4 linked regions of the Astyanax mexicanus genome follow. The protein of the gene in region 1 interacts with the protein of each later gene in a biochemical or structural test. Links are inferred from orthologs where the notes say so. Each region holds a gene or a part of one and is shown in the gene's direction. Other genes may lie near its edges.

Region 1 (7,300 bases):
TTTACATTATATGAAGAACATATGACACTCCTCCCCCAATCAAAGGCCTGACAGGTGCTGTAAGAGCAGCTGGTGCCAAATGTGTAGAGGAGTGTGAGCAGCTGGCATTTTCTGTACTAGCCCTGCTTTTCAAAAATTTGCATTCTTGTAGCTAAATGAGAAAAAATATTATTTGCATTATCAAAAAATATAAAATTTTAAATTAATAATAAAAAAAAATCTTGAATGCAACAATTAATCTTTAGTCACTTTTCAAGCAGTAATAACCTTAAACACTTATTACATTGAATTTGCATAGCAATTAAAATGTAGGAAAAAGTAGGAAGGTATTTGTAACATAACATACAAATAATATGTAATTACGCCTTTATGCACTCTTAGCATAAAAGGTCTACTACTACTACTACTATTATTAATAACTACATTATGCTTCTTTCAGATGCCAGAGAAAGCTGCCCAGCCTGTGATGGAGGAGGATGTGGAGACTTTTGCCTTTCAGGCTGAAATTGCTCAGTTGATGTCCCTGATCATCAACACCTTTTATTCCAACAAAGAAATCTTCCTCAGAGAGCTCATCTCAAACTCCTCAGATGTAAGTTCTTCCTCCTTATTTGGACAACGACGCTCCAAGATTTAAGCTACTGTTCTGATAGAAATTACACTTTTTGCTCTTTTTAATGTTTAATGTATTTTTCTATGTTTCACCCTTCGTTCCACTTCACAGGCCCTGGACAAGATCAGATATGAGAGCTTGACAGACCCAAGTAAACTTGAGTCCTGCAAAGACCTGAAGATTGAGCTCATTCCTGACCTGAAGAACCGCACACTGACCATCATTGACACTGGAATTGGCATGACCAAGGCCGATCTCATCAACAACCTGGGCACCATTGCCAAGTCTGGAACCAAGGCCTTCATGGAGGCTCTGCAGGCTGGAGCTGACATCTCCATGATTGGCCAATTCGGTGTGGGTTTCTACTCAGCCTACCTGGTAGCAGAGAGAGTCACAGTCATCACCAAACACAATGATGATGAGCAGTATGTCTGGGAGTCTGCAGCTGGGGGATCCTTTACAGTTAAGCCAGACAATGGTAGGATATCAAAACAAACATTTGACAAACACACACACATAAAAGGCTTAAAAATTGTACAGTATTACATTTGTGTTTTGGATTTGCAGGTGAGTCTATCGGTCGTGGCACAAAGGTGATTCTTCATCTAAAGGAAGATCAGTCTGAATATACAGAGGAGAAGCGCATCAAGGAAGTTGTGAAGAAGCACTCACAGTTTATCGGCTATCCCATCACTCTCTTTGTAAGTGCTACTAATATATTTGACAGGATTTTTTCTGTAATTCAGTAAATGTTTTGCACAACATTAATGTGGTGTCATTCTTTATAAACATTTTTTAACCATCATTGCATAGGTGGAGAAACAGAGAGAAAAAGAGGTTGATCTGGAAGAGGGAGAGAAGGAGGAGGAGGTACCAGCTGCTGAAGACAAAGACAAGCCCAAGATTGAGGATGTGGGATCCGATGAGGATGAGGACAGCAAGGGTAACAAAAACAAGAGGAAGAAGAAGGTCAAGGAAAAGTACATTGATGCCCAAGAGCTGAACAAGACCAAGCCTATCTGGACCCGTAACCCTGATGACATCACCAATGAAGAATACGGCGAGTTCTACAAAAGCCTTACAAATGATTGGGAGGATCACCTTGCAGTCAAGGTGAGTTGGTTTAAGTATTAAAAATAAATCTAAAATATGTTTTCCTCTATTGTTAGATTTTTTTTTTCTCAAATACTCACACATATTTTACTCCATCATACAGCACTTCTCAGTGGAGGGCCAGCTGGAGTTCCGTGCTTTGCTGTTTGTGCCAAGAAGGGCAGCTTTTGATCTTTTTGAGAACAAGAAGAAGAGAAACAACATTAAACTCTATGTGCGCAGAGTCTTCATTATGGACAACTGTGAGGAGCTAATGCCTGAATATCTCAGTAAGTGTCACAATTTTCCTGAAACCGATATCCAACATGAAAATATATATATGAATTTTACTTCTGATTGACACCACGAAAAGCATTGTACTGTAAATGTGACATTTAATGCCTGCTAATTAAATTACCATCCTCTTATGTTATTAGATTTTATGAAGGGTGTGGTAGACTCTGAGGATCTGCCCCTAAACATCTCCAGAGAGATGCTGCAACAGAGCAAGATCCTCAAAGTCATCCGAAAGAACCTGGTCAAGAAGTGCCTTGAGCTCTTCACTGAAATCTCAGAGGACAAGGACAACTACAAGAAGTTATATGAGCAGTTTTCCAAGAACATCAAGGTATATTTGCATTAATCATAATCATAAGAATTGGTAAAATAACATGAATAAAAAATAGAAACATAAACATCTCACATTTCCTTTTCTTTTCCAGCTTGGTATCCATGAAGATTCTCAGAACCGCAAGAAGCTCTCAGAGCTGTTGCGCTACTACACCTCCAACTCTGGTGATGAGATGGTGTCTCTCAAGGACTACGTGTCCCGCATGAAAGACAGCCAGAAGCACATCTACTATATTACTGGTTAGTTATTTGGCATTCATTATTAAATAGCACAAAAACCCATTATTGGTCTTAAATATCACTTAACTAAAACATATGTTCCCCCTTTCCTCCAGGTGAGACAAAGGATCAGGTGGCCAACTCTGCCTTTGTGGAACGTCTACGCAAAGCCGGCCTAGAGGTGATCTACATGATCGAGCCCATTGATGAGTACTGTGTTCAGCAGCTTAAAGAATATGATGGCAAAAACCTGTTGTCAGTTACCAAAGAAGGTCTGGAGCTTCCTGAAGATGAAGAAGAAAAGAAAAAGCAAGATGAACTGAAAACCAAGTTTGAAAACCTTTGCAAGATTATGAAAGACATTCTGGATAAGAAAATTGAAAAGGTAAACACAAAAAATACTTAAATCTCTAACAAACATAATGCACACAGTGCCCTCAACCTGAGATTAAAACTGTTGTATAATAACCAATCTTTCATCTCCATTAAGGTTACTGTGTCCAACCGCCTGGTCGCCTCTCCTTGCTGCATCGTTACCAGCACATATGGCTGGACAGCCAACATGGAAAGGATAATGAAGTCGCAGGCTCTGAGGGACAACTCCACCATGGGCTACATGACTGCCAAGAAACATCTAGAGATTAACCCCCTGCACCCCATCGTTGAGACCCTGAGAGAGAAAGCTGAGGCTGACAAAAATGACAAAGCGGTGAAAGACCTTGTTATTCTGCTCTTCGAGACTGCCCTACTTTCTTCTGGATTCACCCTGGAGGACCCACAGACACATGCTAACCGCATCTACAGAATGATTAAACTTGGTCTTGGTGAGTTGCAAGCCAAAAACATGTGTATGCTTACTTTAGATATGGGGTGTCAGACCTTACCTAAAGAAGGCTGTTGTGGCTGCAGGTTTTCTTTCTAAAAACCTGCAGTCATAACAGCCCTATGCAGCTAATGCTTCTATAAAAATCCATCTCAAGACCAGCTGGTCATCCAGTAAAACATACCCTTTGCTGACAGGATAGGATAGCTCGTTAACCAGCTCTTGATCAGTATAGGATGACCAGCTGGTCTTGAGCTGGATTTTTTAAAGCAGGGATATCAGATGTCACACCCATGCTTCAGAGGCAGTGGCACACAAATGACATGGAAAAAGCTACATTTCTAATACTTTCATCCTTATTTTTCTTTAATAGGCATTGATGATGATGATTCGGCGGTTGAGGACATTCTTCAGCCCACTGAGGAGGACATGCCTGTCCTGGAGGGAGACGATGACACATCAAGAATGGAAGAAGTTGACTAAGATTTTGAAGTAGAAATAGCACAGAACAAATCTAAATGTAAATCTGTTTAATTTAAACACTGTTTAATTTTGAAACACATTGCCTAGCTAGATAGTCTATTTATTCTTTAACCTTTCGATTAGTTTTGTTTTGGAAGATATGTTGTGCCTTGTCGGAGTTTGTGATTAGAAAATATATCATTTTTAATTTTGTTTTTTTTATGGTGTAACTTTTTTAAGGAAGCAAAGCAACTTTCTAATAAAATATTGTGCAGAAATTAAATGAGTTGTGGTGATTTTTTTTGTTGTTGTTCATTTAATATTTTTTAGAACAATTTTTAAAGAACATTTAGCTACATAGGACCAGTCCCTCTTTCTCAGTGCCTTGATAGACAGAGCTTAGTCCCGCCCCGCTCCTGCAACAGAGCGCGCGCAGGGAAGATTCTCGAGTGTTCTGGATCAGCGGGCTTCTGGAACAGTCCGAGCCCAGCGCTTTATAAGCCCGGCTCTCACAGCTCTGACAGTGTTACAGCGCTCAGAGCCGCGGAGAGGACCACACGTACCCAACACACACACAGCAGCATTCCAGCACGACCCTGTGTCAGGATCTGTCGAGGTAAGACGGGTCGAGGCATGGATTATCAGTCAGATAAATAAAACAAGGAGGAGCTAAATTTATAACTGTAGCCTACATATATTTAAATCCGGAGACACAGTTAACATAACTAACTAACTAGGTATGTTTGGTTTGAATAATCTGGGTTAGCTAACCTAACGTTGTGCATGATGGCAGCTGTAGCTCTGTGTACTAATACTGTTAATAATAATGAATTAACTCTAGTGTTAAACTTCTTCAGTTAGTTCAGAATGGAAATGTTCCTGCAGGTTAGCGTTAGCTCGCCGGTGTTCTGTCGAGTTGTGCTACCCATCGATACGTGCTTCCTAAAGGCACTGCGCATGCGCTGACGTACATTTTTGTGATTATTAACGTTACTCGTATTTTTTGTTAATAATAAATCTGTATTTTGAGTGTTTTTGTGCAATAAACAACCTAGATAATAATAATAGTAATAAAAATAATAATAATAATAATAAATACAAAATTATGATTTAATTAAATTATTTAAAAAAAAATACAAAAGCAGTTTGTAATGCGCTCTCATTGCCATAACTTTACCATGATAGAGTGATTTACGCTGTCCAACTATATTAACTCTGCATCTACTGGGACTTCTACAGGAACCATGCTGTAATATAGAGCTTCTTTTGTATTTTTACAGTTAAATATATCCTAAGATAGCACAGTTTGACAAGGTAGCACAATTCGACAGAACACCCCCCGGTTGGACAGATGGCAGGCTAACTTAAGCTAAGTGAATATCGCCTCCTAGGCATCACCGGCATTAGGCTGATCATACAGATAGAGAGAGAGAGATGAAGGCTAATTGACCATGGCCATTGCAAAGTTTGGCTTCAGCTATTTTACCCTAAGCTAGTGTAGATTAGTATGATTTTCACATCGATACAACCTGCATCCTACAAGAACACTGTGCCCTACAACATCTAACCTACTTAACCTCGTTAAATCGTCACAATAAAAGCCATTTAAATTGAATAGACTTCATCATAAAGTGTATGTAATCTAGCTAACATAGGTTATATAACTCTAGCTAACTTGTTACAGTAAGAAAACAGACATTAATGCACCTTTGCTGGAAATACTCAATGTTATCTTAGGTTAAATAATAAAACTGTGCTGTTGACTATACTGCAAGATTACACAGCTAGGAGTCTGTCTATCTTATCTAGTCTGATTAATGCACTCTGTCAGGACCTGATGTGGCCGCCATGCTCACAGTTATAGGATAGCAGTGTTTGAGAGCCACAGCTCTCCATGGATTGTTATGCATGTGCTGCTGCGCCGCGAGGCTGGTAAGTTCTAGAAGCGTGCTGTACATCGCTCTGACCAGCAGGTGGCGCCTTTCTGCCATCGGATCACTAAGCCATGTGGCCATAGACCTGTCCTGAGAAATGATCGATAAGGAGACAGGGTGTAGTGATTAATAATAGTGTGAATAGCTAGTTTACACACGGCGCTGGCCTTGCTGCATTCATCAGTGTAGTGAGAGTAGTATGAATAATATAGCTAGTGAGTATGGGCGGGTGGGGTTTATACACGCAGCATTGCACGTGAGCTTTTAATCCTTTTTTTAGTGATTATGTCATTTCTATATAACTAATACAATGGCTTGATAAGACTGTAAACAGCATTAAAAGCACACAATTGAAAATGTGGTTCTACAAGAGTTCTTTAGTCAAAGCAGTATTAGTAATTTATAAGTGATGTCAATCAGTTAAAAAAAATGTACTAATTAAAAAATAATAGCTATTAATCATGATTTAACACACTTTTCTTCCTTAAGACTAAGCTGTTCGTAATGGGTATTTAAATGTGTTAAAATAATAAGTATTACAAACACTTAGATTAGTATTATTGGTGCCAATCCCTTAAAAAATAATTATACTAATCACTACAATATTCTGTGACTAAATCATGATAAGTTTCCAGATTAACTGCATGTGTTAACACGGTAATGCAAAAAAAAAGTCATGCAAAAACCTTAGGCTCCCATTATCAAACATGTCTGCATTATAGATTAAGATTAACTGATGTCAAAATGTATATAATTAAAAATCATTGCATTATTTTGCTGTTCTTCAGTACAGGCACTGAAATTGACACCGAAATGGGAAATATAGGTATTTTTACCAGGATTCCTCCAGAAATCAGGAATCCAAACATGACAAGATATTATAGTGTATTTTTTTTAAATATTAAGCAAGTAGTTGCATTATGTGACATCGGGCATCTTGTGGTGTGACGATTGTGCACATAATGCAAATAAAATATTTAAACATGCGTACATTATGTGTAGAAGAATTAGTAGGAATTCTAGGAAATCATATTAATGGTGACACCTGCACAAATACAAGGAAAACCTTTCCTGTGTCTTCACTACAAAAGTCAATGTTTAAAGTTTTCAAAGCACCTGCTATCTAAACAGTCCAATCCAGTGATGAACAAACCTACTGTTGCAAAAAACGATGAAAAGAACACCCTTCCAACTGTTCAGCACAAGCTGTATTGATTATATGCCTATCATGATGATTACATCATCAAATACTTGTATAATGTATGGCCATAACCTTAAGTCATTTTTGCAGACCTCAGTATGTGTTTACTTGGAAAGAAAAGCCTATTTACATGAATGAGCTGTTCAGTCAACTTTATTTCAAACAGTGGTTTATATTATTTATCTTTTATTTAGGATATTAAAACATAAAGCCATTAAAATGCCCATATCTGAAGGTTCTTAGTAGTTAAAGTACGGTGCTTTCTAAAACAATATATAAATGCTTTATTACATTGTTAAACTCTTATGTGTACTTTATTGGTATTA
Region 2 (7,851 bases), on another chromosome or scaffold:
AGAAATTGTCATAATATTAATTATATATGAAAAATCCAGCAGAGATGTGTAAAACCGATCATCTAAACAAGAGGAGATACTTTGAAGAATGTAAAATATAAAATATATACTGGTTTATTAATCACATTTTTGTTTATTAAATAATTTCATATGTTTTTCGTCATAGTTTGGATGATTTTAGTTTTAATCTATAGTACAGAACATTTTAAAACTGTGAACTTGGTACTGTATATACATTACAGCTGCATGCTGATCTTCAGCATATCAGTATATTGTGACACTAATTTAAAACCAAAATACAGCTAATAAAAAAAATACAAAATATCCTGATACTTTGATATAACAATATATATATATATATATATTTGTGTGTATATGTTTGTGTGTGTGTGTGTGTGTGTGTGTGTGTGTAGGGTTTGTGGAGCTCTCTCCCGAGGAGTTGAGGATGGAGTACTACACCAGCAGAGCTTCTGGAGATCTACAGTCTTACGTAAGTACAGACTGGGTAGTTCGGTCTGAGCTGGGGTTCAGGTGGAGCTGTGGTTTTGGGTGAAGCTGTAGTTTGGGTGGAGCTGTAGTTTGGGTGAAGCTGTAGTTTGGGTGGAGCTGTAGTTTGGTCTGAGCTGAGGTTCAGGTGAAGCTGTGGTTCGAGTGGAGCTGTGGTTTTGGGTGAAGCTGTAGTTTGGGTGGAGCAGTGGTTCAGAAGAGCTGTAGTTCAGAGACAGCACTAGTTTGTGTGGAGCAGTGGTTCGGGTGGAGCTGTAAATTCAGAAGGAGTTGTAGTTGAGGCGAAGCTAAAGTTCAGGTGGAACTGTAGTTTGGATGGAGCTGTGGTTTGGGTGGAGCTGTGGTTTGGGTGGAGCAGTAGTTCAGAAAGCACTATTTCGGGTGGAGCTGTAGTTTGAGTGGAGCTGTGGTTTGGGTGAAGCTGTCGTTTGGGTGGAGCTGTGGTTTGGGTGGAGCTGTGGTTTGGGTGGAGCTGTGGTTTGGGTGGAGCTGTGGTTTGGGTGGAGCAGTAGTTCAGAAAGCACTATTTCGGGTGGAGCTGTAGTTTGAGTGGAGCTGTGGTTTGGGTGGAGCTGTGGTTCGGGTGGAGCTGTGGTTTGGGTGAAGCTGTAGTTTGAGTGGAGCTGTGGTTCGGGTGGAGCTGTGGTTCGGGTGGAGCTGTGGTTCGGGTGGAGCTGTGGTTCGGGTGGAGCTGTAGTTCAGAAAGCACTATTTCGGGTGGAGCTGTAGTTTGAGTGGAGCTGTGGTTTGGGTGGAGCTGTAGTTTGAGTGGAGCTGTGGTTCGGGTGAAGCTGTCGTTTGGGTGGAGCTGTGGTTTGGGTGGAGCTGTGGTTCGGGTGGAGCTGTGGTTCGGGTGGAGCTGTAGTTCAGTAGTGTAGATGTGATGATCTGACGTGTGCTGTGTGTTCCAGGCGAACTCCGTACAGCAGCTGGCCAATCAGTGGAGGTCCAGAGTGCAGGAGCTAAGGACCATGAGCTCCTCCACCCGCACCACCATGGTGAGGAACCCTGCAGAACCAAATACAATCTTTTCTACAAGTTACACTCTATACATCCACCCATCAAACATCTCCTGGTTTCTACACCCATTATTAGTGGTGGTGTCTGATCTGTGTTTGTTCTGCAGATATCAGAGCTGAACAATCCGGGATCTTCGGGTGGAGGCTTCTCCTCTCCATCGTCAGGGTTCGGTTCATCTTCATCATCATTGTCATCATCAGCACCTGGATTCGGATCAGGTGGTGAGTCCACAGATGAATTTCCCTTAGTAATGCTACTATAATCTTACATTTACTTCAGTATTGCTACTATAATCATTAAATTGCCTTAGTAATGCAACTATATTATACACTGACCTCAGAATTGCTACTATAATCATATATTTACCCCAGAAATGCTATTATAATCATACATTTACCTCAGAAATGCTATTATAATTATAGATTTACCTCAGTAATGGTATTATAATCATATGTTTACTTCAGTAATGCTACTGTCATTATACATTAACCTCAGCCGTTCTATTCTGATTATACATTTACCTCAGTAGAACTATTATATTCATAGATTTACCTTAGCAATTCCATTATTATCATACATTTACCTCAGTAATTCTACTATAATCATATATTTACCTCAGTAATACAACTGAACGCATACATTTACCTCTGTAAAGCTACTATAACCCTATATTTACCTCAGTAATGCTACTATAATTATATATTTACCTCAGTAATGCCACTACAATCATACATTTACCTCAGTAATGCTACTATAATCATATATTTACCTCAGTAATACAACTGAACGCATACATTTACCTCTGTAAAGCTACTATAACCCTATATTTACCTCAGTAATGCTACTATAATTATATATTTACCTCAGTAATGCCACTACAATCATACATTTACCTCAGTAATGCTACAATAATCATACATTTACCTGAGAAATGCCACTATAATTGTACATTTACCTCAGAAATGCTACTATAATTATACGCTTACCTCAGTAATGCTACTATAACCACATATTTACCTCAGTAATGCTACTATAACCAGACATTTACCTCATTAATGCTACTATAATCATGAATTTATCTCAGTAATGCTACTATAACCAGACATTTACCTCATTAATGCTACTATAATCATAAATTTATCTCAGTAATGCTACTATAATCCTACATTTACCTCAGAAATGCCACTATAATTATACATTTACCTCAGAAATGCTACTATGATCATACAATTACTTCAGTAATTTTACTACAAACGTACAGGTACCTAATGGTACTGTAATTTTACATTTACAAATGCTACCATAATACATTTACTTCAATAATGCTATTCTAATCATAAATGCTACCATAATACCATACTACCATACCATACTACCATATGCTACCATAATACATTTACTTCAATAATGCTATTCTAATCATAAATGTACCTCACTAGTGCTAAGCTTTAATATATATTTTTTTCAGGTTTTGGATCCAGCGCCCCTCAAAACGGTGCAAGTGGATTTAGCTTTGCTCCAGCCAGCCCCGGGTTTACAATGCCCAATTCCGAGTCCAGTTCCACCGGGTTTGGATCGACAGGTTCCCAGCCCAGTTCCACCGGGTTTGGTGGGTTTGGTTCGCCTGCTCCTTCCTCCACTCCTACAGCTTCTTCCTTCTCCTTCGCTTCTCCGGTGGCGAGCAAGAGTTCTTCTGGAGGTTTCGGATCCGCCTCCGGGTTCAGCTTCACCTCCTCTACAGCTCCAGCAGGGGGCGGCTTCGGCTCCTCCGCTCCAGCAGGGGGCGGCTTCGGATCCGCCGCTCCAGCAGGGGGCGGCAGTCTGTTTAGCTCGGCCGGTGCCGGCGGGTTCGGTGGGGGTCCAGCGGCTGGTGCAGCTTCTGGAGAAAACCTGTTCACCCCTCAGAGTGAACTCACCCCGGATGAGCTGAGGGAGTTCAGCGCTAAGCGATTCACACTGGGTCAGATTCCCCTCAGACCGCCGCCCGCGGAGCTGCTAACGGTCTAAACGCCAGACTCACAATTTTACAATAAAACACACTTAAACTGATTACCCTGTTTACTACATACATATTCATCAGCCCAGACTTTAGCTTTACAGTACAGCTAACGAGGCTAATGTGGCTAACAAACAACTTAATCATTAGACTGTGGAATTAATAAACACTGCTAACATAATTTATTCCATGTTTTAGATAACCTACAGCCTAAAATATAACGCAGTGTACGAATATTTAAACATGCTAATTAGTGGGGTATAAGCTTCCATTACTTTTTGGCTATGTTAGCCTCACCGCTCCAGTGCTAACTTACTCTTTAGAAGATTCCAGGACTTGTTAGCTACGTTAGCTTTGATCAGAACTTGGCTGATCGATTACTCTTTGATTAATGAGGAGCACACTGAGAGTATTAGGTTTCTGTAATTTAACAGATTGTTATTTCATAGTAATGTAAAGTTTATTTTATTTGTATCATTTGTATCTGGCATTTTGTGGGCGGGGCTAATGTACAGCTGTATCATAATAAAGTTGTTTTTTTTAATAAACAAGTCCTTAGTTTTTGATTTGTGTTAATAATGAGTGACCAATGAATCATGAGGTAGGTAGGTGTTTCCTATAAAGTGTCCATTCTGAATAGATTACACAACCTTTCAAATGAAAATATTAATATAAAATTCTGCTGGATACCAGGACATAGTGGCTTCACTGGAAATGAAAAAGCAGACCAGGTAGCAAGAAGAACATCAAAGGCCGAAACAGCGAACTGCAAACTCCCACCAACAGATATAATGCCCCTAATTCACAAATACATCAAAGAGAAGTGGCAAGACGAATGGAACACCCAAACAAACAGCAAACTGTACGAGCTCAACCCCAAAATAGATCATTTTACCAACGCGTATATAGACAATAGATGGGATCAAGTTATTTACTCAAGATGCCGCATTGGCCACACCAGACTGACGCACTACTTTTTACTGAAGGGCGAAAGACCCCCACATTGTGATGTGTGCCAACGAACTATTACTGTAAAACATATATTAACCGAATGCCCAAAATACTTACCTACAAAACAAAAAATCTGCCTGTCAGATACACTAATGGACATTTTCAACAAAGACAATGCAAACAAAGTACTGAACTTTTTAACTATTACCAAACTGAGAGTCCACATCTAAGGACGAGATCATAGAACCTTGTGAATAAACAATACCTATCCTGCCACGAAATAGCTGATGAGCTGATGTGGCGTTAAACTCAACCAACCAACCAACCAACCTACCAACCAACCTATAAAGTGTCCAGTAAGTCAAAACAGTAGGTTTAGTGTTATATATGGATGTTATATGTAATAAAGTGGCCAGAAAGACAAGGTCGGTAGGCAGGTGTTTCCGATAATTTGGCCAAAATACAGGATAAGTATGTGTTTCTGATAAAGGGGCCAGAAGGACAAGGTAAGCATATCTGATAAACTGGCTAGAAAGACCGTATAGGTAGTTGTTTCCGATAAAGTGGCCAGAGGCGCAAAGTAGGTAGTTGTTTCCGATAAAGTGGCCACAGTGCCTCTGTGCCTTTAAGGGATCTCGAGCTCTTGTCCAATCACGTTGTGTGTTGATTGTGATCCGGGTACTGAGCGCTGGGTTGATGCGGAGCTGTGGTTGGTGAGGTGAGCGCGCGGCGGTATATGAAGTGAGGAGTGATCTGGGAGTGATCTGCACGCGGGCTGAGATGAGCGGGGTGCAGGGCGCGTGCACGCTGCTGCAGGGAGTGTACGGGTCGGTGAGGACGCTGCAGCAGTTCGCGGACAGCGTGCAGTACCCGGATGGCCGCGGGGCGGCGCTGCTGCGGGACACGGACCCCGCGCGCCTCGCCGGTCTCATGCGGGGACTCGTGGTGTGCACGGACTCGCGCCTCCCGCGCGCCGCCAGCCGCGCACAGGTAAATTCACTGTGTTTACTGATACCTGAATCGCCCAGGCTCACACGTGGCTGGGTTTACCCTCTCTCTGAGTCTTCAGTGACGTATGCGGAAGTTTATATGTTGCCTGGCAACGTGTGGGCCATGTGGTTGAAGTTAAGCTCCTCCTGCTGCTGGTTTCCCTGGTAACAGAAAACATGCAATAAGTTTTTAGCTTTAGTGCTTCTTTAATGCTGATGATGGAGAAACAACCATTATTTAACCTCATCTTACGGACATCGCTTAGTGTGTAAACTCTAATACTACATAAAATATACTGAATTGTTTAATAAAGAAAAGTGTTAAACAACCCAGAATATGTTTTATATTTTAGATTCTTTAAAGTATCTCCTCTTGTTTAGATGATCAGTTTTGAACATCTCTGCTGGATTTTCTCAGTCAGTTTTATGAGGTAGAGTCTCCTGGAATTCATGCTTTCAGTTAACAGCTGTGCTGAACTCATCAAGAGTTAATTACTTGAATTTCTTGTCTCTTAATGTAAAGTTTGAGAGCATCAGTTAAAGTAAAGTAGTGAAGAGGTAGAGTTACAGGTATACAGTGAATAGTGAATATTTGAGTAATGTTCGAATCCAGATTATGAGAAGCAACAACTACTCAACTAAATAAAGAAAAAAAAATACTGTACGATAAAATGAAGGTCAGTCAATCTAAAAAGAAGAATTTTGAGAGTATCCTCAAATGTAGTTAAAGGAAAGACCATCAAAAACATTTTATTGATGGAACTGGTACTCATCAGGACCACTTCAGTAAAGGAAGAGTGAGAGTTTCCTCTGTTGTACAGGATAAGTTAATCAGAGTTTCCAGCCTCAGAAACCACAAGTTAACAAACAGCTCCTCAGATAAGAGTATCTAAATACTTCATCATGCTTCGTAGATCACTTCAATATTCATTTACTATGTAGGAAAAAATATAAAAAATATTAAATGAGAAGACGTGTCCAAACTTTTGACTGGTACTGTACATGCTCTATAAAGACGATATAAAATGTTTGTAAAAAGTTGTTAAATTCCATCTCACTTCCTGTTCTCCCAGTTGGCCACGCTGCCCGAGGTGTTGGCATTTGTGCTGAACCACATGAAGAGGAAGAAGAGGAGGAATGTCCTGAACTTCGGTTATCACTACAGCGACCGCCAGGGGAACTGGGACCCCTTCAAGTTCCACGGCTCCCTTTCCCAGAGTGCGGCCTTTATCAGCGGCAGTGAGCTTTGGGCCAAGATAAACCAGCGACTGGGTACCGAAGTCACCAAGTTCCTGCTGCAGGAGTGTGCTGTCTTCGTTACAGCACCCCCTTCCTGCCTGGTGCAGCTCTGTGGCGTGCCTCTGTATGACATGGTACCTGTACGTAGCTGGTGTGGGTTTTTTCTCACATCTGGTCCACCTGTCACCTGGAAAAGGAGTGACCAGGGAAGAGATCTGAAGAACAGAACTACTGTGAGCAGAAGCAAGAGAAAGAATGAAAAAGAACGGATTGAAACAGATGGTTCTACCAGTGGAACCAAGGTTAGGACTCGCAAAACAAGGAAAATTAGGCATCATGCTAGAAAAACAGACTTACCCACTGAAGAGAACCAGCCTAAAGCATGTAGTACAAGAGTGAACACTGACATAGAAAACTCCAACACTGAAAACACCAAAAAGAGAAAGAAAGAAGAAGAAAATGATGATAATGAAGTAGAAGAAGGAGAACAAGCGAAGGACGAACGTAGTCAGGCCAAAAGGAAATGTGTAGACAATGAAGAACAGAGTAACGTCTGTCTTTTAGATCCCATAGAGACAGCTAAGACAGAATCTCAGAAACCAGAAAAGGTGGAGCCAGCCTCGACAGGCCACGCCTCCATGCAGGGTGTGTCCAGCTGGAAGCCAAGTGACCAACCGCCTTCGTGCCCCTCCCACTGCTTCATCCGGGTACTGAGCATGCTCTATTGTGGCCGTGGCATGAAGGGTTTTCTGCTTAACAGGAAGGTCCGGGGTGGAGTGGGCGGGCCTAAACACCTGCAAGGGGCGGAGCTTGTAAGGATTATTTTCCTCCAGGGAAACACCTACTTGTCTGGAGCAGAACCAAAGCCCCAGAAGCTTCCAAGACGCTTCTTCAGCATGGTGCCCATCTTCAGCCAGTTAATAAAGAAACACAGAAAATGCCCCTATGCTCACTTTCTGCGTAAGAAGTGCTCAGGTGGCAAGGGCAAGGAGGACATGTTGTCGCTGCTGGTCTCCCACTGCTCCGCCTACAGGGTGTACCTGTTCGTCAGGGAGGTCCTACGCTACGTCATTCCAGACCAGCTCTGGGGCTCTGAGCACAACCTCCTGACCTTCCTGTCCCAGGTGAAGCACTTCCTGCGGATGGGAA
Region 3 (7,945 bases), about 4.1 Mb from region 1:
TTTTTTTTACAAGCCTCCCAGTGGCTTGTATTTTGTTTTTCTCTCTTTGACCTGACAGCTGAAAAAAGGTGCTTTATTTTTTTAGTTTTGATTGTAGCTTTTTTACTATGTCATATAACAATATTACATTGGTTCTGCTTTTGCATACTTTAGTATCTGTTATAACCATAACTGCATACTGCATTTTGACTTTATGGGTTGCAGTTATGAATGTTATCTTTTTTGCCTGATATGGACACTGACTTAAAATGTCCAGTTATATAACTCACTCACTGTCCCAGTGCCTACCTGGCACATGCTTCACTAATCTTCCCTGAATGGTAGGAGATAAGCTAATGTTTTTTTTAGACATGCAAGACTATTCCTGGACTGCTGTACTCTGTGAAAGGGGTTAAATCTCTGCCTACTTCATTTTTCTTTAGTCATGGCAGTCATTGCTAATTACTGCTAATAAGTTGCCTCACCAACTAAACTTTATTCAATCTGCAGTATGAAACTGTATACCTAAATGGCACAAGTGTGGATTAAAAATATCCTTTCACATATTGTCTCAATTGTATTGTCTCAAATGTTTCTGATGCAGTATTTCACCTTAATTAAAGGCATTTCAGCTTTCTCCCACTAATATGGCTTCTGCATAACCCTGTAAATTAAAGCAAGAAGCCCTAACCAAGACCAGGTGCAGGGGGTCACAATAACAACTTCCAACTGGCCTTGCACCAATCATTAGACACACACTGTACATGAAATGTATTTCATCCACAAGGTCCCCATCATTTACAAGTGTACACTGAGTACAATATACAATAAGAATACTCTAAAAAAATAACTTTTACTGAAAAGCCTTGAGCAAATGCTTTAAACCTTAAGTGGTGCATACGTTTTGGAAATCGGGGATTTAGAGACCTTTCTGGTGAGAATGTGTAATTGTGCAAAAGAGTACTTTTAAAACTTGTTTTAGCATGATCCCCCTTTTTACAGTTGCTTAGCTAACCAGCAATATATGCTGAATCATCTTTCAAAGGCTGTGCATTTGACCTGAGTACATCAACAGCAAGTGACAAGGCCAGACACTGTTGCGAAAAACTCCTGCCTAAACTTTCCAGATCACTCTGTTTTTAAAATGAATATATTAAAGATTATAAAGTTGCAGTGATGGCTGTGCCAGCACACTAATTCAATTTATTAAAATATTTTGTCCCCCTCCCTCACTCTGCTTCTACTAAAATACTACTGCTTCTGCTTTCAATTAAAAAAGAAGAAAAAAGGAATGCCACTTTAGACTGCCAATATCTGTTGCTGGTCCAACATCACTCAAGTACATCACATCAGTTTCCTGGCTCTTCCTCATATCACACATTGGTGCTTATGTGATTCACTTGTTGTTAAAGCTCACCTTCCGCGAAAATCCGATTTTTCTTGTTTTTTGTGGAATACAGTAGGTCTCTCCGAGTTGAATGTGTACACCTGCACATTAAACTGTTTTGCAGCCCCCATTGTCTGCAGGAGCTAAGCAAAGAAATCCCCCCTCCCCCCCCTCCGAAAAACGGGTGAATTTTGAATTATCTTTCTGCCTACGTAGGCAGAAACTCACAGACCAGCCCACCTTGGCTCGAGAAACTCCCAGAGGCGGAGCTGAAGCGACGCAACATCACCGCTCATCAGTTAGGAGGTGGGAGGCAGTGAGCGGCAGAGCGGTGGAGGGGCGTCGCAGTGCTCCTAGCCAATCAGAGGAGAGATATTTGCATGCTGTTTGCATGTATGAGTATTCATGAGCAAAGCTGGAATCCGGTCATTTTGGACACACCCCTAAAACAGTCCATTAAAAAAGAGCTATACAGAGACACCTGAGCACTTTTTTTTTTTTTACAAAAACGGCTCACATGTCATTCATTCATGCTAGAGACCACAACTAGACATTTTAAAATGAAAGAAAAAACGACGGAAGGTGACCTTTAAGGAGCACTCGTTAACAACAAATAGACAGTCTACACAAGCTTCCTTATTTCAGAAAAACTCCAGTCCTGGAGGGCCGGTATCCAGCTAAGTCTGGCAGTTGCCCTACCCAAACACACCTACTTTGCCTGGTAATGAAATGATGATTTGAATCAGGTGTGTTTGGGTTGGGCAACTAAGCCTTGCTGGAGACTGGCCCTCCAACACTGGAGCTGCACCCCCATCCTGTACAACAACCATTGTTTCTTTTTCAAACTGTCAGAAATCCTCTAACACACAGTTGTGGAATCCGGCTCTTATTCGTAGCCAGGACCTTGTGTTTGGCGCTCACAGTCAGTCTACACAGCTGTTTTATGGTAGTTAATATTCTACAGCCTAATGTTTTCCTTGCTATACCCATAAGAAGTGGACTTACTGGCTGACCAACCAACAGGGTACAAAAACTGTAAACACTGCAATTTGCAAAAATATATATGTACACTTCTGTTGCCTTATAATTTGTCTTTACAGTTGGTTTGTGTGGTTAATACTGTAATAGCAATGTTGTAAAACATATTTTGTGAACATTAAAAAGCTAAAATGCCTCTTAATAGTTAAATGAACCTTGGCTGTTAAGCCTCAATATAGTGTATATGTCCAGTAGTACTGTTATGGGAACTAATTAACAATGGTTAAAAAAATTATATTTTACATCAGTACTATATTGTATAAAACAAGTAAAATACTTCATATTTATGGAAAAAACTAAACCTCTATAATAGTAGTACTCTTCTCTTTTTCTCCATCTGTCTGTCTGTCCGTATCTATTTCTTCCTCTGTCTGTCTCCATCTGTTTTCCACAGAGCGAGGAACAGGAAGCAAAATATCTACTTTACCACAACTATATAATTCAGTCTTTCCAGCTTTAGTTAGAGTGTGACATCACCCAAAAGGAAAGCTTTCCAGACAGTCTCACTTTCTGTACTGTATATAACATCATCACAGTGTAACAGTGACAACCTTTCAGTAGAATAATTTTGCTAATTTTTCTAAATCATATTCCAAAAGTATTGGACATGACCTATTTTAGGACATAGACCTTGTAACATTCAAGGCTTCTTTTAACTGAGTGTGAATATTGATTTTGTGTCTGCCATGATGTTTGCCGAAAAACATCTTATTAAGACATGATGGATTACTGACAACAATATATTTATTTAATTGTGGGTTACATGCTCCTACAATATTATTTATTTCCTGTATTTTGTTGATTTTTGTTTATTGAGACATTCATTGCCCGTAATTAAACTTTATTCACAATGAAAACAAAAATGATTTCAAATTCTATACAAAATAATATTATAGGGGTGGATGGATTTGCCCAAACAGGATGCTGTTAAGGGTTCACAAACACTGGAATTGGCTCTGGAAATATTGAAAAAACAAGGTGAATACAGTGAAAGCACTGAAACATTAGGTTAACATTAGTTAAGACATTGGCATACAATGATATATATGTGTAATACAATTAACAATATAATCCTGAGTTAAAATGTAATGTGTTGCAGTCATTGACAGTCATTGTTTGGCATCATTATGTCAACCGTTTTTGTGACCTGTCTTTCCTATAAACTGATTTCCGCATTTGGTTGTGGATCTAAACATAAATATGAGTAATTTTACACTACTCACTAAATGAAAGATACTGATGTAGTGTGGTGTAATGGCCTGACCACAGAGTCAAACCAGGCTCTACCACAATAAAGCTAATGTTGTCACCCACACGACAACACCAACCACTAATATACCCAGCTTATATTTGCATAATGCAGTGTATATATACTATATGTTGAAATTTAGGCTGCACTTAGGCTGCATTTTAGGCTACATTTAGGCAGCACCCACTGCTGACACAGATGTTCAAATGCACACACAGTAGTATGGTAGTTCCTATAGAGAACCACTAAAATAGGATTCTCTTGAGCAGATAAAGATGAACTAATTGGCTTAATATGATGTACATGTCCAGTAGTACTCAATATATTGTATAACTAAAGTAAAATACTTAAGTTTTATGAAACATAGACTTACAAATAGACTTATAAAGACCTCCCCGGACAGTGAAGTCAGTAGAGACAGTGCCAACAAAAGCTTGAACTTATTAATACGTAATATTAATACATAATAATTGATATAATGTATCTAAAATGTATACAGTTTAGAATTGTATTAAATGACTGTAACTATACTGTAACCAGCTAACTAATTATATAAAAGAGAGTGAGATTCCATATAAACCAGTGGTGACATATAAGCAGTCATAATGAGCCAGCTGAATTCAATGAGCTGAATTATCTCCAGTGAAGGAAAAAAAACATTTAAGAATGCTGTTTTCTGTCTGAAATGCACAGAAAAGACTCTAATATTATACTATAACATCTATATAGCAAACAAATCCAATTAACTAAAATATTTAATAGTTTATTTTTATTTCCGCTGCATTAGATGCCTGTGTGTAATATTTTATTTAGTAGTAGTATTTCATATTGACATTTCTCTTTCGTGAACCGTCCCTAAACAGTAAAAAAACATGAATAAAAATTGTACTTTTAAAAATTGCTTAAAAATTCAGTGCAATGGGCGAGGCCAATTTATTGTTTAATTGGTTGATAAACTTGTTCATTTGGGTTGTTCATGGTCAGCTATCAAACTGCGTAATGTGCAACAAAACATTTAAAAATAAAAAAAATACATGATGTCCATTGTAATGAGTGCAAGGTCTGAAAGGGTTAAATACAGGTATTAGATATGTCACCCTGGTTATTAACTGGGTAATATAATGTGGAATTAAGGTCTGTAGGTGTGATATAGGTATCAGTATCTCGTGTGTGTGTGTTTGGAGCTGCAGTGTGGGGGCTTGTTTTTCGATGACGTTTGTGCAGAGCCCGGTTCTGTCTCTGTGCCAGAGGAACATGTGATTGCGCGCTCCCGTAATCATGAACGAGCCCACATAGAGAGTAGTAGTAGCGGAGCCTCAGTGAGCAGCATTAGACTGTAGCACTTAACTCTCTTTGTGCCGGGGAGAACCCCACCGCAGGAATACACACAGATGTTCTGACCTTCAGGACCACGGAGGGGCGACCTCTTGAACTCGGCTGTACAAGAGACATAGCGGAGACGTGTTAGCGGGTGTTTTTGGCCGCGTTTAGCTCGGTTTGTTGGTGTTTTTCGGGGAGGACAGGTGGCCACGTCCTTCATCCTCTCTCTTTCTCGGGTCTGGAACTAGCGTTAGCCGCTAGCCGCTGTTTTGTTGCGCCGGCGCTTCGGGAAAAAAAAAAACCTTACACACTAGGAGGTTTCACCCAGGAATGGATACTGGAGTCGCCACTGAAAAGAAAAGGTACGGCGGACGGATTTTGTATGTGTGTTATTGTGCTGTTCTGACCTGCAGACAGAGGCTGTTCCTCCTTTTCACCTTTCTGCTGCTGCTGTTAGCTGTTAGCTTAGCGGAGGCTAGCAAACAACCGTCCTCCTAGCGGAGTCGCCATTTTGTGCTTGGGGGGCGTCTGAGGCAATTTGCTGACAAGTTTACAAACAAGCGAAAAACGCCAGCACCTCAGCACTCGGACCGTCTGTAGCTGTTGAAATCTCTCCAGCGGGGACATTTTGTGTCGGTTTTATTTTGAATATACGCCGAAAACACGGGCTGCGTCTGTATCTGCGTTGGCAGCACAGACAGCGGTTCAGCTAATGCTAACGCTAACCTAGCTTAGCTTAGTTTAGCTAATAAGAAGTTGCCTTGATTTGTGTTGCGCCGGCTGGAGCTGAGTGTGTGTGTGTGTAAAAGATAAGCGACCGGATGATTTATTTTTTGTGGCTTAAAATTTGTTAACTACAAACTGAAGGTGAATGAGAGAGAGAGAGGGGTCAGCTCTAATATATATATTTATTAGAAATGTTTAATAACGGTTGGAGTAAAGTGCGTCAGCGTGGCATGGACTGACTGCTGGTGCGGAGGAGGAGGATGAGGAGTGAGTGTGTTAAAAAAGCTGCTGTTAAATAGCTTCAGATGACTTAAAACTGCAGAGTTTCTGTGTTTTTGTAAAGAAGGGATTCTCAATTGATGTGATTTGGGATTTTTAACCCTTCGTTACGTTTATTATAGCTTATAGACGTGACCTATTTTCATTCAGACCCTCAGCTGGAAACAGGTTTGCCTTTATAAAACAGTATTTTCATAGTATTAAACCTTTTTATCAGATCAGATTCATCTGACGTATATGTGGTATTTTTTATTTTTAGGTATAACCTGCACACATGTAAAAAAAAAATCAACCTCTACTCCACACTAGCTAATTGTCTCTTTTGTCAGAACATAGTAACAATATACATTACCAAACACAATTTTGGCACCTCTCTTTTCATTTAGTGGATTTTTCTTTTTTTTATGATTTTTTTATAGTGTACATTTAATATTGAAGACTGTTAAAAAAAATACCTAGGCAGAAACACGTGAAATATTTTGGAAATAATCCAGAATATGTATTATGTTTTATATATATTGTAAGTGACCACATTTGTATTTGAGGACAGATCTGCACACTCTTGGTATTTTAATCTCTATTTTTACGAGGTAGGGTCACCTGGAATAGTTTTCTCAGGGTATTGGAGCAGTTCCTAGAGGTGCTGAACAATAGTTGCTGCTTTTCCTTCACTCTGTGAAGCTCCAGCTCATCCCAAATCACCATTTCAGTTAGGTTTAGGTCAGGGGCTTGTGCAGGACAATGTGTGCTACAATGTAGAAAATAAATTGATTGAAGGAATAAAGAAACATTGATTTAGAAGATGTGTCCAAGCTTTTGACTGGTACTGTATATATTAACTTATGTTTTCATTTATTAGGACTTTCACAAAATCAATATTTAGGTCAAATTTAGCTGTTAAAGGATGCTGTTTTGCTCCTCTTTTATCATCTCTTACTCACCACAGATGTTGACGTCAATGGGATTTCCTGCTTACTTCTGTGGCAAGACATTTGCAAGAACTGTGTCAGAAAAGAAAGGATGTGTGAGGCACACTTCACTATTTCATGTCTGTTTGGGTATGCCTTTTTGTGAGGGGTTAAAGGGGATTTAAAATTTACAATGTGGTTGTCACTTTGGGGTTCACATTTGTCTGGTTGAGATGGAGTGGTTGGTGTGGTTTAAATGAAATATCACTATAAAATTGATGAATTTATTATTTGGAATATATCTTATTTTGTTTTTAAGTTGGAATGGTCAGTGAAAGGAGTGAAAAGGAGAAAGTGAAAAGAAAGTCAGTGCTGCCCCATTTCAAGGGTATCTTCCAAAAACTATGAGTATGCATAAATCTTTGAAAGCACACAGGTGTATAATTAATAATTTAAATGGTCAGTGTCCTTGTATGATCCATTCTTTGTTTAAATAACCCATACCTTTTTAAATAATTGTTTTTGTGTACACAGTTGATTGTACTGGTACTATACCAGCATATTACTAGAATTATCATTGATCAAGTATATGTGGTTTTGTATTTGTTTTCAAACGGTGGTGCAGAATCAATCCCATGGTAATCCCTCCCATAATGTCCAGGCACAGGCCAATCTGTCGGTCCTAATTTCTGTTTCAAGGCTCTTCTTAACTACTGCCCTGGTGTTATGCAACACATGCCACACTAAATGTAGCTGGACTGTCTCTGTCCAAAGCAATACAAATTATTGCTGACCTCACGTGAAGGACAGCTTCTTATTCTTAAAAATAGACACAGCGGTTAGTCTGAAAAAATGTTTTTTTTTTCCAAATTGCCAAAAAACATCTGTCTTAGATTTTTGATATGAAAATGTCATGGCTTTTTAGAAATCATGCCATGCATTTTCTTTTACAAAAAACGTGGGTATTTGTATTTTATGTACTACACAATATAATAAAAACAGATGCTGTTATTGAAACTAATTTAACACATTTTAGATGTCAGGTTTTTTTTGGTGACT
Region 4 (7,890 bases), on another chromosome or scaffold:
TGTCAGTCTGACAAAATGTTTATTCTAATTGAAAAATTGATATATTAAGTGCATTATTACAACATATGTTGACTTCTATTAAATGTTAGTGTTTTTTTACATATACAGTGCACAATCTTACTAGAACTCCAAAGCTGTGTACTCACCCAGCTCCTCACGAGTGAAAGACAGACTAGTGGTGTCTTCATTCAAATGCTTGTTGAAATCAATACACAGTGTACTCAGTTTCTTTTTGATCTTCTTGATCTCCTATTACAGGAAATAAACCAATTCAGCAAAAGATATTTCTTTCCTCATGTTAGTTTATTTTAGAAGAATCAATTCAGCTGAAAAGTATTCCAAGAACGATTTGTGCCCAGAGTCTTTGTAACGTCTGACCTCTTGTGTCTCCTTAGGAAGGTGAAGCCCATTTCTCTTTCCCAACTTGATCAGTCTTTCCATGTATCTCTTACCCTCTGGGGTGATAGACTCATCCTGCAGTTTATCCTAAAAAATGATCAACATTTCAGATGTAGAAGGATGAAAAACAACATGCGTAAACCTATCAAATCCCACGAAGACCATTATAGAGTTGTTTAAAGAGGCTTGCAATATGAACACAGCCTTAGAGGAATTTTGGTAGGTAAAAGCTTCATAAAAGCTTAATAAAAATGTATAAATAATAATAAAAAAATGCCTTAAAAATATTGTTTTAAAATGTACATTTTAAAAAGCAATTATTATTATTATGGTTAAAAGTGCAGGCTAGTACAAAATAAGACTTTTTTATTAATAACTGATATTTGATTAATGCAAAATATGGTTTATATTACAGTTAATTCTGAGCCTGCAATCTGATTGGCTGAGAGGTGTTCTGTGCGTGCCTTTATCAGCCAGTAATGCACTGTAAGAATTTTTTTGTTAATATCGCACAGCCCTACTGTCTTCCTTATTGATTCCATCCTTAACCTAATAAAAAAAAAAAAACACCCCAGACATTTAGGAACCTAACCTGAAGCGCTACAATCCTTTGGTACACATCCTCCCTCATGCTCATCTCCACATCAAACTCCGACAGCTTCTTATCTGCATCGGTGCTGGCCGTGCGCACGTCCTTAGAAGACGACACATGCTGAGGGAAATCCAGCATGTTCCGCTGGACTGGAAAAGAGCCAGAGATGATGCGATGTTACAGGTTATAAATAATGGCTTCAGACTAATGCTAAGAAATCAGTTTAATACCTCATATTACTTTTTATAGGGCATTATTATATTGTAAAGACTAATGTGGCACTAACTGAAGCATTAATGAAAACACATAATTCAAAACACATCATGACAATACTTCTGTATTAGGGGAAAAAGGACTGAATAAAAAGGTAATAACACTTTGCCATAACATTTTATTTGATTTATTTTTTTTGTCAACAGAAAACCTACACAAGATAGGTGCCTTGCAGTGCTTCCACTCTGCACACTAAACAATGGCAAACACTATTGTTGTGCATGTGTCAGTCAGCCAGTCTTTATGTAAAAAAGTGCTGAACGGTGTGTACCATTGCATACGGCTTCCCTGCTGACTCAGCCTTTTTATTTTTTGTTTCACAATAGTGATAACTGAAACCTGGTCACTTTGTTATAAATTAGGGCTCGTTGTGTGAAACAATCTGTGCTTAAATCTTGTGAAGATGTCAGAAAAGTTGAGGACTCATCCTCAGTATATAGATCTAACCAGATTAAGTAGAAATACATTTGCATTCATGTGTCTATTCTGGTATTTTAAATACCAGTAAGTATTACAGTAAGTATTAAATGCATTAGAAGCTCCAACCACAATCACAAACCATGAAGTATTACCTGTGTAGTCCACCTCCACATCAGCAAGGGCTTTCAGAGTGTTCTCATAGGTTACAGCATCTAGATCCAAGGATCCTACAGAGTCATAGACTTGCTTGGTCTTTGCAATAAGCTCATCCGTAAGCTGATGGATCTGCTCTGGAGTGAGGTCCCAGCGCAAACGATTGTCAGCACAAACTCCATCTCCACCGCCAAACACTACTTCACCTGAAGCAGAAAGTTTCTCTCATGTGTTTCAAATATCAGAAGAGATGAGCTTTTAAGGCATTAGGTTTCAAATGTATGTTTTGGGATATAATACCCATATCGTATTGTACCAAACCAAAAGAAAAGAAAGAACCCCACACCCACAAAAAACATACTAAACTGCAGATCCCTCATACATTACACAATAACTATAGTTTATTTATTAGTATAGCAACCTAAAAGAATAAATATATTTTGATACAATTTTTGGTACATCACCCAGCCCTATCATGTATTATTACTTCCAAGACATATCTATTAGTACAACATACTTGTACAACATATTTGCCCAACTTTACTTGTTGTAATCTTTTTGGATCTCTGTAGTTAAAATGACAGAATCGTTTAATTTATCAATTAATATATATGTATATATTTTTTTTTCGTCGTTTTGTCACAGAATAGGGCTGGACGATATGGCAAAAAATATATCACTGTATATTTCTTAGTTTTGGGCTAAACGATAAACCATTGTACAGTTGATGCGGAGTTCTTTGAGTACCAATGATATCGTTGATATGTGAGAAAATGTTAATATATTGTCCAGATTGTTTGCAGAACAGCAAGGGCTAAAAAGCAAAGTAAGTTACTAAAATGTCTAACAAAGCCAGAATATTTTATCTGTATAACTTAGCTGTTTATCTTATCTTATGGTTATATGGAAAATTCTCAAGCATTGCTGAGAGCTGAGTTTGTTCAGCTAGCTTAGCTAACATATGTCTGTCAGCTTGTCTAGTAACGTTAATGCTCCGTTTAGAATGACGCCCTGAATTTGTAATCAGTTCGATATAAAGCTAACCCTAAAAAAGGTAGTTTACATACAGCTTAAAAAACACAATAAACACCAGCGCAAACCTGCATGTCACTGAACCATAGGGGAAATAATATTAACCTACACGTGTTCCTGGTATTAATGGAAGCTAAAGTGACGGCGCTTAGCTAACCTATCAAACCAGCAGGCTAACTACGGTTAGCTACACAGCTAGCTGTCCGGCTCAGTACAAGTGCATATACACAGAAGGCTAACTGTAGCTAGCCGGCAAGCTAACATAACGGCATTACAACACAAGAACCTGCGCAGCTAGCTAGCTATTGTTTTCATAACCGGCAAACGGCTGTATGTGTGAACACTACAGCAGTGAGTAGCCGCCACCGTGCTCGTAAAAACAGAGTAATGGCGGTGTTTCTAAATTAAACATTACAGTTTATGTTCACTGTTAATCCAGCTCAGTACTTTACACCCCATATACCCAGCGCTGCTCTAACCTACTGAATCGTAGAGCTGCATTCAGACCCCTGTTCATCATTCAGTTAACTATTAGCAGAAAGTACTGAACTAAAGAGAGGAAAGTAACTAAAAAGTGATAGTCAAACATCTACCTGACTTTTCTAATATAACCTAGATTACCTGTAGGTGCCATTTTTCCACGCGTTTCTCTGAATCAATGCTCGCTGCTCCACCGCCCGCCCGTGATAGCTCTTCCCTGTGAGGTGGTATCCTCCCGCCCATTTCGCACTCATTGATTGGGTCTGAGAGTTGTCAATCAACAAAACCCCGCCCAATCCTCTTCTGCTCAGTGATAGTACACAAAAAAATTTAAGAATGATAAGAATGACTTTTAAACGAAATACATACATTTAATGTGGGAAAAGAGAGTTTGAATTGGAATTATGTGAAATATTTACAGACTATTTTGCATGTATTTATAAGAATTAACACAAAAACAGAATCATGTTTAATACAGCATTTAAACTTTCTTTGAAATATTGCTTCATAAATTAATAAATTAGCTAATGCTCGTTTGTTTAGAATTAGTTTCTTGCAGAATAAAATAATCTGTAAAAAATAACTGAGTTTAGTAAAGAATATTGATATAACACACTAACTAACACTTATTTCACAAAACACATATCTTAAATTAACTAAGAATTGTCTATTTTAGTAAAAATGTCTCATATAACTAATAATTAATTAATTAATTAATTAATTAATTAATTATTTGATCAATTTAGCTATGGTTGTTTTACAGTGTCATGGACATTAAAGATATTATCTTCTAAATGCATAAATAAATTATCTAACTAATTATGAAGTTTTTGTGACAATATTATACAATAAATAAATAATAAATTACTAATTTATGATTACTTACAATTAGTGGGAAATTATTTATTTGAATGAGGCATGAATAGTTCTGATTATATTAAAATTAGCTGTAAATAATTTATACAACCTTTAACCTTTATTTTCACTCAAGAATACATTGATGGCAACCATAATTTTTTAGTGAACTTCTAACATTTTAATTATAAAAACAATAAACATTAAATGGCAAAGGCATTATAAAAACAAACAATAATGATTTAAGTAAGAATAATCTAAATTATTCAGAACAAAAAGATAAGTTGACAGGCTAAAATGTAAAGAGGAAAAAAAGAGAGAAATAAAAAGAATGAGCAAAAATAAAAAGAAGACTAAAATATGTAAGTAATTAAAAATAACAATACGATTATAAAGAAAGTAAACGGTACAGATAAAATAGGTATAATGAAACAAGGGGTTAGTGTAGATTATATATATTTATGAGTGCATATATTATTTCTTTACCTTAGTAATTAGTTATGTTCCCAATACATTTGTTCATAAAATGAATTCCCATTTTAATGCAGCCCATACTGGGGAGGATGTTTTAATCATAGACATGAATACGTGTTCACGTCTATTGTTTTAATGATGATAGTATTTTATTTTTATCATATGTTTAGCGACATTATAGCTACGTCAGTACGTTTTACGCTGGTTTTACGCACGGAGGGGTGAGTTTACGTATTACGCAGCGTACGCCAGACTGAGAGCGCAGCGAGGAAAATCCCTGCAGTGGGACAGTCAGTAAGTATAAAAAGATTTGAGAAAAGGTCTGGGTGTGATTCTCGGGAGTGTAGCTGAGTGACACAATGTAGGCCGTCTTTACCTCTTTACCTGGTTTATGAGCGGGGCAGATTTTAAAAGCTGTTTGCTGTTATTGAGAGTTGAGCTGCCTTTACTCTGAACGAAACGAGCTAATGCTAATGCTAGCTAGCAAACAATGTTAGTGAGCTGGATATCGAGGTAGCCCTTGCGGGTTAGCTTAGTTAGCTTAGCTAGCTGCGTTACGCACGGTTAGACAGCGTGTAGCCGGTAGTTGCTGATATAATAAACACATGTATTCCTGTTTACACTGTTAGAGTGTAATGATTTTAGCGCTGTGAGCAGCTGAGGGGGTTAAATTGATAGCTAGTTAGCTGTTGAGGACACATCATCAGACTAGCTAACCTAGCCAGCTGTTGCTAGAAGATTCCGGGTCATATGTTCATATGAAGTCATTTCACTAGAGACAGCAGCAGAACAATCTGCTGTATTAAAGAACTGAACGATTCGGCTGCGTTAGGCAAGTGTGTTAACCTACTTGGACAGATACTGTTACTTAGTTAGATAGTTAGGTAACTATGTATATGTGCGAGGTTAGCTAACGTTAGTTAAGACACAAGCAATCATCTTGATGATCTCGTGCTTGCATGGATGGTACTCCTAGCAGTACAGTGACCTCAGTGTAATTAGTCATTGTAATTAAAGTAATGTTAACTGAAATGTGTCATTATTAGGAGATTGGAAAAAATATAGTATAAATCACCAGAATTATGTAATGATTTATGTTAAGGGGTCAACCAGTTCCTAAATTATTGAAAACCTAAACTTATGATGTGAATCTTACTGCAGACCTTATTTACCCATGACAATTTGCCAAATTTCTCTCACCAAAGGCATTATTACCTGTCCGGTTCCTAGAGTTTTTACTGAACTGGGAAATCTGCTTTTAGCTACAGTGCAGCACCCGAGAGCTGGAATGTACTACCTGAAATTCTAAACTGAGTCACTAAATAATTTTAAACTAGTAGTCTCTAGCCACCTTCAGTCAGCCTGTAACTGCTTTTAGTTGAGTTTTTTTTTTGCCTTTTAATTTATTTAATTTTGTCTTTATTTATCATTTTTTTAGCCTTTTTATTTATTTGATTCATTTAATCCTTTTGTTTGTTTTATTACTGGTTTTACTTGTGACCTTTTACCATTTTATTTAGTTTATTTTGTCCTTTTATTTTTTATACTTTTTTTTATAAACTTATTATTTATTTTAGTTCTGTCATTTACCTTATAATTTGGGTGTTATTTTACTCCTCTATTTCTTTAAATGTGTTTGTCTTTTATTATTCTTATATTTTTTATTGCCTTTACATTTTATCCTTTTATTCTGAAATTATTTCTTCTTAATTAATCTTATATTGTTTGCTTGTTTTAATAATTTAAAACACAGGAATTTCCACTGGTGGTAAAAAAAATAAAAAAAATAAATAAAGACATCTTAAAAAATTAAAACGAAATGTAGTGAAAATGTGTCCAAAAAATTGGGCAGTAAAAATCATATTAGGCTGGGTTTTTTTTTTTCATCAAAAAAAGAAACAAGACCAGTTTGATTTAATTTATTTTCAGGTCTTACTAAATTCCAGCTCTGATGTATCTTGCACTGTATGGAAATTGGTGATCCCACCTGTCGTGATGCTAATTTAGAGCCGTTTTTCACGACGTGTAAAATTGTGACTTAACGCAGATAACAAACATAAAGACAAAAATACCACCAAAAACAACACACAAATTTACAGTGGTGGAAAAAAATAAACAAAAATGAAGGTAAGCTAAATGTATTGAAAAATAATACAGATTACCCAATACCCTACTAATAATGCAACACACTTTATAAAATATTGGACAATAAAATCATTTATGTTGGGCAGGTGTTTTATGTCAGGCAGCAAAATAGAAACATGACCTGAACATGAAAGAATTTAAACAATATATTATGCACACTCCAAACTTGCACTGTATTTATTCTTTTGGAATAAATATTATTTTTGTGCTGATATGATGCACCAGTTGCTGGCTTGGGTGTTAACAGATTTTATCACTTCCAGAGAAGAGCATTGTCAATAGAACAAAACCCACTGGAGGATCTCCGAATGTGCCTTAGATCATGTTTAGTAATTATAAATTTGAGTATGGTCACTTTAGGCAGTTCACAGTCAAAGCTTTCAATTTTACTGAACTTTACTTTTTGAGATGATGTTATTCTGCTAAACATATGCCCACATGTTCTTATATTTCAGATTTCCTCAGAAGTAATTGGAGAGAGCTTTTTCTCCAGCCAAAATGACAGACACAAAACGTCTCGCTTTCTCCATTATCCAGTTTCTCCATGACCAGCTCAGGTCTGGGGAATTGTCGTCAGATGCTCAAGAAAGTTTAGAAGGTAAATACTGATGCAGTTCTGAATGAATGGTTACTAAGCTTATATTTGTTTATGGTTTTGAATTAAAACACTGATATGATTGATCACTAAAACTGCTTTCCAGTTGCCATCCAGTGTCTGGAGACAGCATTCAGTGTCTCAGTGGAGGACCAGAGTTTAGAAGTTACTGAAACTTTGCCAGAATTATTTGCAAAAGCCACTCCAAAGGTAGCAGTCTATATTCTCTTTAATATTGCTGTTCAGATACAGAGTATTGGTATTATTTATGATTTGAGAATTGTAAATAAAGACTGTGTGTATCTATGACAGGTAAAAAACACACCTGAAGTTAAAGTCAACTCTACCAGTAATCCCCTAACAGAGGATCAGATAGCAGAGGCAGAAAGACTTAAGAGTGATGGTATGTATATAATGTGTGTTTGTTTTGATATTCACAAAAAATACTGGATTAAATTAGTCCCTTCTAAAT

The links.
Region 2: the proteins of hsp90aa1.2 (region 1) and tert form a complex in vitro, tested with the Homo sapiens proteins (2 studies listed by BioGRID). The link is inferred for Astyanax mexicanus from reciprocal best matches to the Homo sapiens genes HSP90AA1 and TERT.
Region 3: the proteins of hsp90aa1.2 (region 1) and hif1ab form a complex in vitro, tested with the Homo sapiens proteins (4 studies listed by BioGRID and IntAct, with this or other methods). The link is inferred for Astyanax mexicanus from reciprocal best matches to the Homo sapiens genes HSP90AA1 and HIF1A.
Region 4: the proteins of hsp90aa1.2 (region 1) and sgta form a complex in vitro, tested with the Homo sapiens proteins (2 studies listed by BioGRID, with this or other methods). The link is inferred for Astyanax mexicanus from reciprocal best matches to the Homo sapiens genes HSP90AA1 and SGTA.

What each region holds. Positions count from the first base shown.
Region 1 is NC_064408.1:74,162,812-74,170,111, forward strand, and holds the start of hsp90aa1.2 (heat shock protein 90, alpha (cytosolic), class A member 1, tandem duplicate 2), read left to right. Parts: upstream 1-4,292; 5' UTR 4,293-4,455; intron 4,456-7,300. Other genes in the region: hsp90aa1.1 (heat shock protein 90, alpha (cytosolic), class A member 1, tandem duplicate 1), read left to right, coding at 440-592, 725-1,091, 1,181-1,314, 1,427-1,726, 1,830-1,995, 2,143-2,333, 2,428-2,575, 2,671-2,939 and 2 more. UniProt on the Homo sapiens protein: Molecular chaperone that promotes the maturation, structural maintenance and proper regulation of specific target proteins involved for instance in cell cycle control and signal transduction.
Region 2 is NW_026040049.1:365,248-373,098, reverse strand, and holds the start of tert (telomerase reverse transcriptase), read left to right. Parts: upstream 1-4,846; 5' UTR 4,847-5,254; coding exon 5,255-5,464; intron 5,465-6,536; coding exon 6,537-7,851. Other genes in the region: nucleoporin NUP42, read left to right, coding at 414-490, 1,419-1,505, 1,634-1,748, 2,996-3,534. UniProt on the Homo sapiens protein: Telomerase is a ribonucleoprotein enzyme essential for the replication of chromosome termini in most eukaryotes. Active in progenitor and cancer cells. Inactive, or very low activity, in normal somatic cells.
Region 3 is NC_064408.1:70,074,955-70,082,899, forward strand, and holds the start of hif1ab (hypoxia inducible factor 1 subunit alpha b), read left to right. Parts: upstream 1-4,930; 5' UTR 4,931-5,303; coding exon 5,304-5,335; intron 5,336-7,945.
Region 4 is NC_064423.1:18,691,549-18,699,438, reverse strand, and holds the start of sgta (small glutamine-rich tetratricopeptide repeat-containing protein alpha), read left to right. Parts: upstream 1-4,872; 5' UTR 4,873-4,972; intron 4,973-5,020; exon of another isoform or gene 5,021-5,039; intron 5,040-7,278; 5' UTR 7,279-7,321; coding exon 7,322-7,421; intron 7,422-7,524; coding exon 7,525-7,628; intron 7,629-7,730; coding exon 7,731-7,821; intron 7,822-7,890. Other genes in the region: thop1 (thimet oligopeptidase), read right to left, coding at 147-249, 379-486, 992-1,140, 1,837-2,043, 3,491-3,503. UniProt on the Homo sapiens protein: Co-chaperone that binds misfolded and hydrophobic patches-containing client proteins in the cytosol. Mediates their targeting to the endoplasmic reticulum but also regulates their sorting to the proteasome when targeting fails.